2 linked regions of the Danio rerio genome follow. The protein of the gene in region 1 binds, or shares a complex with, the protein of each later gene. Links are inferred from orthologs where the notes say so. Each region holds a gene or a part of one and is shown on either strand. Other genes may lie near its edges. The genes, in order: kat2b and mysm1.

Evidence for each region.
Region 2: kat2b (region 1) and mysm1 share a complex: the UniProt entries of both Homo sapiens proteins name them as parts of the large chromatin remodeling complex. The link is inferred for Danio rerio from reciprocal best matches to the Homo sapiens genes KAT2B and MYSM1.

The regions. Positions count from the first base shown.
Region 1 is NC_133194.1:23,134,388-23,138,216, reverse strand, and holds part of kat2b (histone acetyltransferase KAT2B), read right to left. Parts: intron 3,010-3,829; coding exon 2,818-3,009; intron 2,735-2,817; coding exon 2,637-2,734; intron 2,556-2,636; coding exon 2,430-2,555; intron 1-2,429. UniProt on the Homo sapiens protein: Functions as a histone acetyltransferase (HAT) to promote transcriptional activation. Has significant histone acetyltransferase activity with core histones (H3 and H4), and also with nucleosome core particles.
Region 2 is NC_133195.1:9,285,399-9,289,709, reverse strand, and holds the start of mysm1 (histone H2A deubiquitinase MYSM1), read left to right. Parts: upstream 1-1,288; 5' UTR 1,289-1,303; coding exon of another isoform or gene 1,304-1,362; 5' UTR 1,363-1,479; intron 1,480-3,679; coding exon of another isoform or gene 3,680-3,752; intron 3,753-4,311. UniProt on the Homo sapiens protein: Metalloprotease with deubiquitinase activity that plays important regulator roles in hematopoietic stem cell function, blood cell production and immune response.

The sequences.
Region 1 (3,829 bases):
AATATTCACACAAACTTTTACTGGAAGTTTATCGGTGGCTAAAAAACTGTTTCTGTGCATAGAGCCCACTATCTTGTCCAGTTATATTTGATTAGAGCTAAAAATAAATTCTGCAGAAGAGTGGCTCTCCAGTACCTAACCCAGCTCTAAGGCTACATTGATTCATAAAGTGATTTCAGGCTCTCAGGCCCCATACACACAGCAACAGATTTAGGTAAATCCACAAAACGTCTAGCCCTATTTATAGACAAAACACCCTTTTTAGAAAAAGGGATATCACAGTACCACATGACCAGAAGAAAGGAAGAAACCCACTCATAACAACCAGGACAAAACAACAATGGCAGATTAAAGCAATAGTATCTGGCTGCAGCCTTTATGATGCAAGCTGAGACTGCATCACTCAGCGATGCAAAGTTAGACACAATGCACTCAAATGGAGTTAGTGAGGTCACTGTGACGGGTAGGGTTAGGGGTGGGGTTAGGTGAGCCCATTAAAAAGCATTGGATGCAGCCCAGATTGCACTACACCATGTCTGGAGCCAGACCCATCTCGATTAAAGAGCTGTGTTTATTAGTGCTATTGCAATACAACCTTCTAATGCTCTATCAACTAGATCAAAGAAGCTTAATCTTGTTTTCTGATGATCTACCTTCCTGCAGAGTTCAGCTCCAATCCTTATAAACACAAATAACCCGCTAAGGCCCCCACTAATACATTTTAGTTTTAAAACGACATTTTAGAACGTTAACGATTCACGTCCACACTGGCGTTCCACATAGCGTTTCTGAAAAAATCTCTGTTTACACTAAACCACTCAAAATGCACATCGCATGACCACATATAATCTGGCATGCGCTGGAGCATATGTGGACATCTGAGCTCCAGGCATTCGGCAAGTGCTTTGAGCACAGCTCCCCAGGTGAGAGCAGTGCAGGTCGGACAGTTAATCAAGGATCTTCTGCTGGATTTCATCTCACTTTAATTGTCAAAAGTGATATTAAATTCATCTTGTCTCTATTTAATGGTCTATTGAATCTATTACTTTTTCTCAGCTAACGTGTTTTGGCTGAGCACAAAGATAAGTTGATTACAAGTACGCTTATAAGTACACTGATTCTGCACATTTGACAAGATTGCTTGCTTTTATTTCCCATATTGTATGAACTTATTGTGTGTTATACTTTTGAAATGGCAAAAGAGTCAGGGTGTTTCATATTTTTCACAGAAAATGAAAAGAGGCAGTTATGTTCTAGGCTCCGTTTTGTAATGAATATGCATACAGCGAAGATGACGGACACGATATATAGCTACAGGACGCCTCAAAATTTTTGGTGGCTGTTAAGTTAATATCAAAATGAAAATAGACAGTTCCTCATATCATGTTTTTATTTTATGGTTAAGAACGTAGCCAGAGTGATGCGAATAACATTATACAGTACATTATTTTTACCCGACGAGTTTTCAGGAGTTTGTTTTTACATATCCAACTTGCAAAGTCTGAACTTAAGGAAAGGATGCAAGATTGAACTTTGTGCACTTAATATTGAGGAAAAAAAAAAACAATTAGATAGGCGAATGTCTGCAGCCATGCCTCCATTTTCAGATGTGTACATTTCCCCCCATCCACACTGACATGGAGCAGCAGTGTTTCCAAATGAAAATGGCCTCTTCAGCAAAACGCTTAGTTTTCAGGGCTCACACACTCCGGGGTAGTATGGACGGAAGGCGTAGCAAAACTTATGAGTTTTAAAACTAAAATGTATTAGTGTAAACAGGACCTAAGCAGGATCTGAAGGAGCACCAGGCAATTAAAGTTGGGTGTGCATGATTAAGGTTGCAGCTAAACTGGAAGGCAGATCTTCAGGAACAGGATTGATCACACCTGAACTAGATGACCGGTGGAGACACATCAACACACATCAGATATTTGTAAATTGACAAAAATGTCTTGTTTATGTCTTTACACAGAGTGCTGAAGAAGAAAAACTTCATGAGCATTCCTCTGTGACTTTATTGTGTCCTGCGGCTCTGTTTGTTTAAAGTGCCACATAGAGTTGTAGCATACGTTTTACACAATTTTAAACCAGTTTTTCTGTTGTCGTCATGTATAGAGACAAGAAAATAAGGTAACACTTTAGTTTGATGGTCCATTTGAGTATTAGTAGCCTGTTTGCTTAATTTCTGCTGATAGTGTTACTACAACAGTCATTTAACTGACTATAAGAAACTTTGCAAGTACATGTCAACTTACACTAACCCTAACCCAAACCTAACAATCTACTTATAATCTAATGAGAATTAGTTGGCATGTATATGCAGTGTAACTTAAATTCAACAAACGGATCATCAAAATAAAGTGTGACCAAAAATAAAATAAAATAAAAATTGCCTCATTTATAAAACGTCTTATAAAATAAGTTAATACCTGGATTGGGTTCAAGGACAGAAGCTGTTTTCCGGGCCGGGCTAACACTTCCTCCTCCAGCCAGCTCCACTGGTGCTGGACTGCTGCTGTAGTACAGGGAGCGATTCACAGGTGGAGCACTAACCACTGCACCAATCAGAAAAGAGAAAGGTTTGTTTACATAGCTATCCCACATAACGAAATATAAAAAAACCCTTTAACATTCACCTGTTGGAATCTGTCCGCCTGATAAACCAATCATGAAGTTTTCACTCCAGATGGGCGAATTATGACTATAAACCTCTTCCTCCAGCATAGACAAAAACCTGGACACAAACAAACACATACACTCATATTCACACAACATCAGTTATTTGTGGAGGCTTCTGGCACTGTGTTGTGTGCTTACTTGGGGAAATGTGTAAGAATGAGTGTGCGTTTCTCAGGTGGTAGTTTGTCTTTCTCCTGGCGGGCCTGTTCCAGCAGCTGCTTTCTCATTATGGTGAACACAGAGCGCAGGAAAATGCGTCCAAAAATCTGTGTGGCCTCGTACCTTGGGAGACTGTCACAGAACTGGGGCACGTTACAATAACACAGCCACCTACGACACAAACACACGAAAAGGCCACAAACGTGTAGTAAATGTTTATGCATGTAAACAATCTGGAATTTTACATAATAAATGTTATGATTTATGTTTTCTTTCTGTCTTTTTTTTTTACCCTCCTCTCCGTTTGCTCAACCCTTAGGTTTCTTATTGGTTTATTATTCTGTCCATCATCATTATGACGTTCTCCGGTTCCACCAATCCCAGGACGAGCCGCAAGGATTTAAAGCCCTGACAGACCAGTGTGTGTGTGCGCTCTGCCTCGGCGTACCCTTTTGTGCTCCACGCAATTTGTTTGTGCAAATGCTTCGTCTATTTAGTGATTTATCTCAGTTACTGTGGTAATTTGAGTTTGCTTGTTGAACTTCGTTGGCTTTGAGTAACATAATATGATGGTTGTTGTGTGATTCTAAACTAAGCTTTGATGGACTTATCCGGTTTGTTTTGTTTTAGTTTAAATTGATGTTTTGTTAGATTAGTTTGAGTGTTTTGCCACCCGTGTATTTTGAGTTTTGTAGTTTAATTAGTTTAGTTTGGGTGTCGTATACACTGAAGATCTAGGTTTTTATTTTGTGTTTCTTTTTGACGCCTAGTTTAGATTTTAGATTTAAGGATTGCTTTGTTTTGTTAATTTCTTTGATTTGGCTTACACTCATTGTTTTTGTTTAAAGATAATAATTATAAATGTTTTTTTTCCCCATTTATTATTGTTACATGTTTCAATTATTAAGTAAAAAGCTTAAATAAGAGTAACTGAACCTTGCCTCATTCTTGATCTGTCGCACACATTACACCTGTGTCACTTAAATATTAC
Region 2 (4,311 bases), on another chromosome or scaffold:
GACTTCCGTAATACGTTTTCACTGATCGTCCAATGACATTGTTTGTTTACAATGACGTCAAACGTGTTATACATCTAGGGGGCGCTTGGTGGCTCAAAAAAAGAGCTCCTTCATAAACTCTGATCGCATTTAAATTACTTTTGTTAGTTTAATTTTTGTAGTACCAATATTAAAAAAAGCAACTAAATAACACAAAACACATTATTGTTTAAAGATTAACATATATATATGGAAGCAAGCTCTATTTATTCTCTAGTACAGTGCACAGGTGTCAAACACAGTTCCTGGGGGGCCTCAGCTCTGCACAGTTTGGTTCCAACCCTAATTAAACACACCTGATTAAACTAATGGAGTCCTTCAGACTTGTTTAAAACCTATAGTTCAAGTGTGTTGAAGCAGGGTTGGAACTAAACTGTGCTGGGCTCCGGCCCTCCAGGAATTGAGTTTGACACCTTTGCTCTTGTAGGACATTCTTGATTTTAGTGAATCAGCAACTGAAACTGCTATAAGTGATAAAAAAAAAATAATTTCCTCCAAACTTCCAATAAAAACCCTGTTTGGACAATTAATCAGGGTTATCAGTGTGTAGACAGCTGACAATCGTAATGTATTTGCTTGCGTAATTAGTTGTTTCTTCAATTGTTAATTATTATTTTTATTCTCTTTATAGGCCTGCAGCTTAGTCCTTTATTAATCAGGGGTCGCCACAGCGGAAACTACTAAAAATAACTCAAACATGTGATAAATAAAATAAAAGAATAATAAAATAATACAATAAAGTATCAGAGCTGAATAAAAATAGACAATAAAAGCAACTAAGCTGAAAAGAAAATGAATAAATGAGATTGTAGGTAACTGTTTTGCTTTATTAAATCGCATCAATTTTAATTTTTGTTTTTGCTCCGGTGTAACCCACTGTCCAATGACATCCGGTACAGGTGAATTTGGTAGGCTATTGTCTGTAGTGTATGAGTGTGTACAACAGAGTCTAGATGCAGACATGATGCTGTCTCAGACCCTTCTCGGTGTGTATGAATGTTTCCCAGAGATGATTTGCAGCTGTAAGGGCATCCACTGCGTAAAACATATGCTAGATAAGTTGGCAGTTCATTCCGCTGTGGCAACCCCAGATTGACGAAGGGACTAAAAGAAATTGAATGGATGAATGAATGAATGAACACCTTGAACTAGAGGAGAAATACAATTTTAGAGTATCATAATCGCCCTCCTACCAGTGAGAGGCGCTGTATCAGTCACTTTTCTCTCCATACACTCGCTCTCCTCTCTTGCTTCCGGCACAAATATGGCTGATGAGTTGGATGTTGTTGACATCGAGGGAGATGAATGTGATGAAATCGTCGGGTAGGAGTTTATTCTCTCATTTCCATGTTTCTGGGAAACATCACCGACGCTTGCTTTAACATAATATACTCCATGGGCGAGGGAAAAACACGAGACAGCAAAGCTGACAGGATGAATGTGAGCTGCTGTAACGTTAGTTATGTGAACAGTTATTTGAACAGTTAACTTACATTATTCATATTTCATAAGTTACTTTATTTTAGCATGTTTGTTGCTAAGATAGTATTACAAGCTTATTTTTTTATACTTATGCACTAACATAATGTGATCTGCAAGAACAGTTATAGCACATTAGTCATAGCAGTTTATTTTACTGCTCTTTTCACTACAAAAAAGCTGATGAATATTTTAGAAAATAATTAAAAATCTGCCTTCTTTGTGTTTAACAAGGCGCCTTTACTTTAATTCACCTGCAGTATTAGTATGTTGGGCGAGACTTCACTGAAGATTGTAAAGATTGACTACAATACTTTTAATTCTTACATCTCGACCTAACACTAGTGCGATACATTTACTTTCCCTGTTTAAGCAAAGTATTCAGTATTCTTAAACAAATTGATTACATTTTTTTAACAGCTGGTAAAGTTAGATATAGCAATTTTTGTATGGTGTAATTTTTACTCAGTATAACTTTAGAAACTGTATTACTGTCATTAGACAGGTGACTCTTCATATCTGAGTCTTCAAGTCTGTTCTTAAAGGTCCCGTGAAATTAAAATAAAAAGTTTTAGCTCCAAAACAGTGACATAAATTGAGTTTAGAAATATAAAACTGATATAAACATCCAAAGCTTGCAGTTTGTCACTTCTGCTTAAATGAATCAATGATTCTTTTTCACGTCACCTCATACTTGAGTTTCTCATCAAATCTTCTGTTCAATCAAATGCTCTGTAGTATCTGACATGCCCTGTTAGGTCTAGATTGGATACGTGGCGAAATACACATCAATATATTAGCATTTTTTTATGACACTGTATAACAATAATATTTTTACAGAACTGTGACGGTTGGGTTTAGGGTTGTGGAGGGGGTAAATGTTAATAAAATACAATAAATGCGAAATTTAATAAACAATATAACTAATTCTTGTTTACTTCCGGCCACAACCTTATCTGATCTAGCAACAATCATGCCTTGCCTCCTTCAAGTTGCTTCTCATTTGATGTGCTTAGCTCTGCCAGTAAGAGCGGTTGAGATAGTGATAAAACAAAAACAATATTAGCTTTTTTTTCCCTACACCGTCTCTTAATTTTTACTTTGAGATTATGTCAAACATTAATTAAAAAATGCTATTTTTAAAAGCACTTTACAGGATTTTTAAAACATATTTATTTAGAACGGGTTTTTAGTGTCCTATGTATTTTTTTACATTTTATTATTATTATAATGGTGGGTCTTTTTTTTCTTTTCTTTTTTTAAATTGTACCTTTTTTTTTGATACCTGGCTTTTTCTGATTCCCTTTAACCATAGAGCAGCCAAGAAAAGAAATCACAGTAAGGATCCTGGGGTCTTCCTGACCCCAAACATTTACATACTAATTATATAGGGAAATATACATTTTCATATGATAAATTATACAGCATTTTTACAGTCACTTCTCAACTGCATTTCTGCAGATATTTTGTACTTTTTTAACCTTTTTTTATTACACAAACACACAACTACGCCATCATTTGTCTTATAGGAAATTATATTTTTATTAAAACAATCATTAAAATTCAGATCTAAATATAAATGTTTCTGGATATTGGTTTATATTTTAGGAATAGATTCAAATTAAATTTTATTTGTCACATACAAAGTCAAATACAGAAATTATTACACAACCACTAGTGAGCTTAAAAATAATAACAACATTCATTCATTCATTCATTCATTCATTCATTCATTTTCTTGTCAGCTTAGTCCCTTTATTAATCCGGGGTCGCCACAGCGGAATGAACCACCAACTTATCTAGCACATTTTTGCGCAGCGGATGCCCTTCCAGCTGCAACCCATCTCTGGGAAACATTCAGCAACACAAACACACACTTATACACTATGGACATTGAAGCCCACCCAATTCAGCTGTACAGCATGGGGGAAACCATGGCATAACAATAAGAATCTAAACTACTGCCATCTGAGGTGCAAAAGCAATAAATAGCTTGAATAAAAATATTGGAAATGTATTTAGTTAGATTACCGTAGAGTTGATTGTATTGTGTTGTATATTGGCATTATCAATTTTACATGTAAATTGTGTGGTATTGTGATTTGTGATGTTTTATTCTTTTGTAGTCTCAACAGTGTATGTTTGTATACTGTCTTCACAGTGACCTGAGCAGTGCTGAGATTCTCCAGGATCAGTATTTACAGTCCGCATGGAAGACAAACAGCAGTGTACTGGTATACATACATGCAATAATTTCTAAAAAACTTTCTCACCATTTACATGCACTCAAGTGGGTCTAAATCTTTTATGAATTTCTTTCTTCTCTTGAACACAAAATATGATATTTTGAAGAATGTGGGAAAGAAGCAGTGATTGGCATCCGTAGTAGAAACAAAATTAAAAATTCAGTGGCTGTTTTCCACCCTAAAATTCTTCAGTATATCCTTTGTGTTTAAAAAAAAAAGGGAAAAAAAGCTCAAACAGGTTTGGAACAAGGGGAAGTTTAAAAATGATGGCAACATTTCAGTTTTCTCTTTCTCTTTAATACATAAGAAAGATTTGCCATAATATGAAGGATAATATAAGAGTGTATTTTTTGACTATTACATACATTGCACATTATTTCAAGTTTAAATTTCACAGTTCACATAGTTGTCTTAGATAATCACAATGAGATGAAAAATCAATAATTGTGACAGGCCTACTTGCAATTGAGAAGTGGACCTAGCACCACTTTTTGTAGGTTGTGAAAACCAGCTTCGAAAGGGTGAACCTTGCATTAAGGTCCAAAAT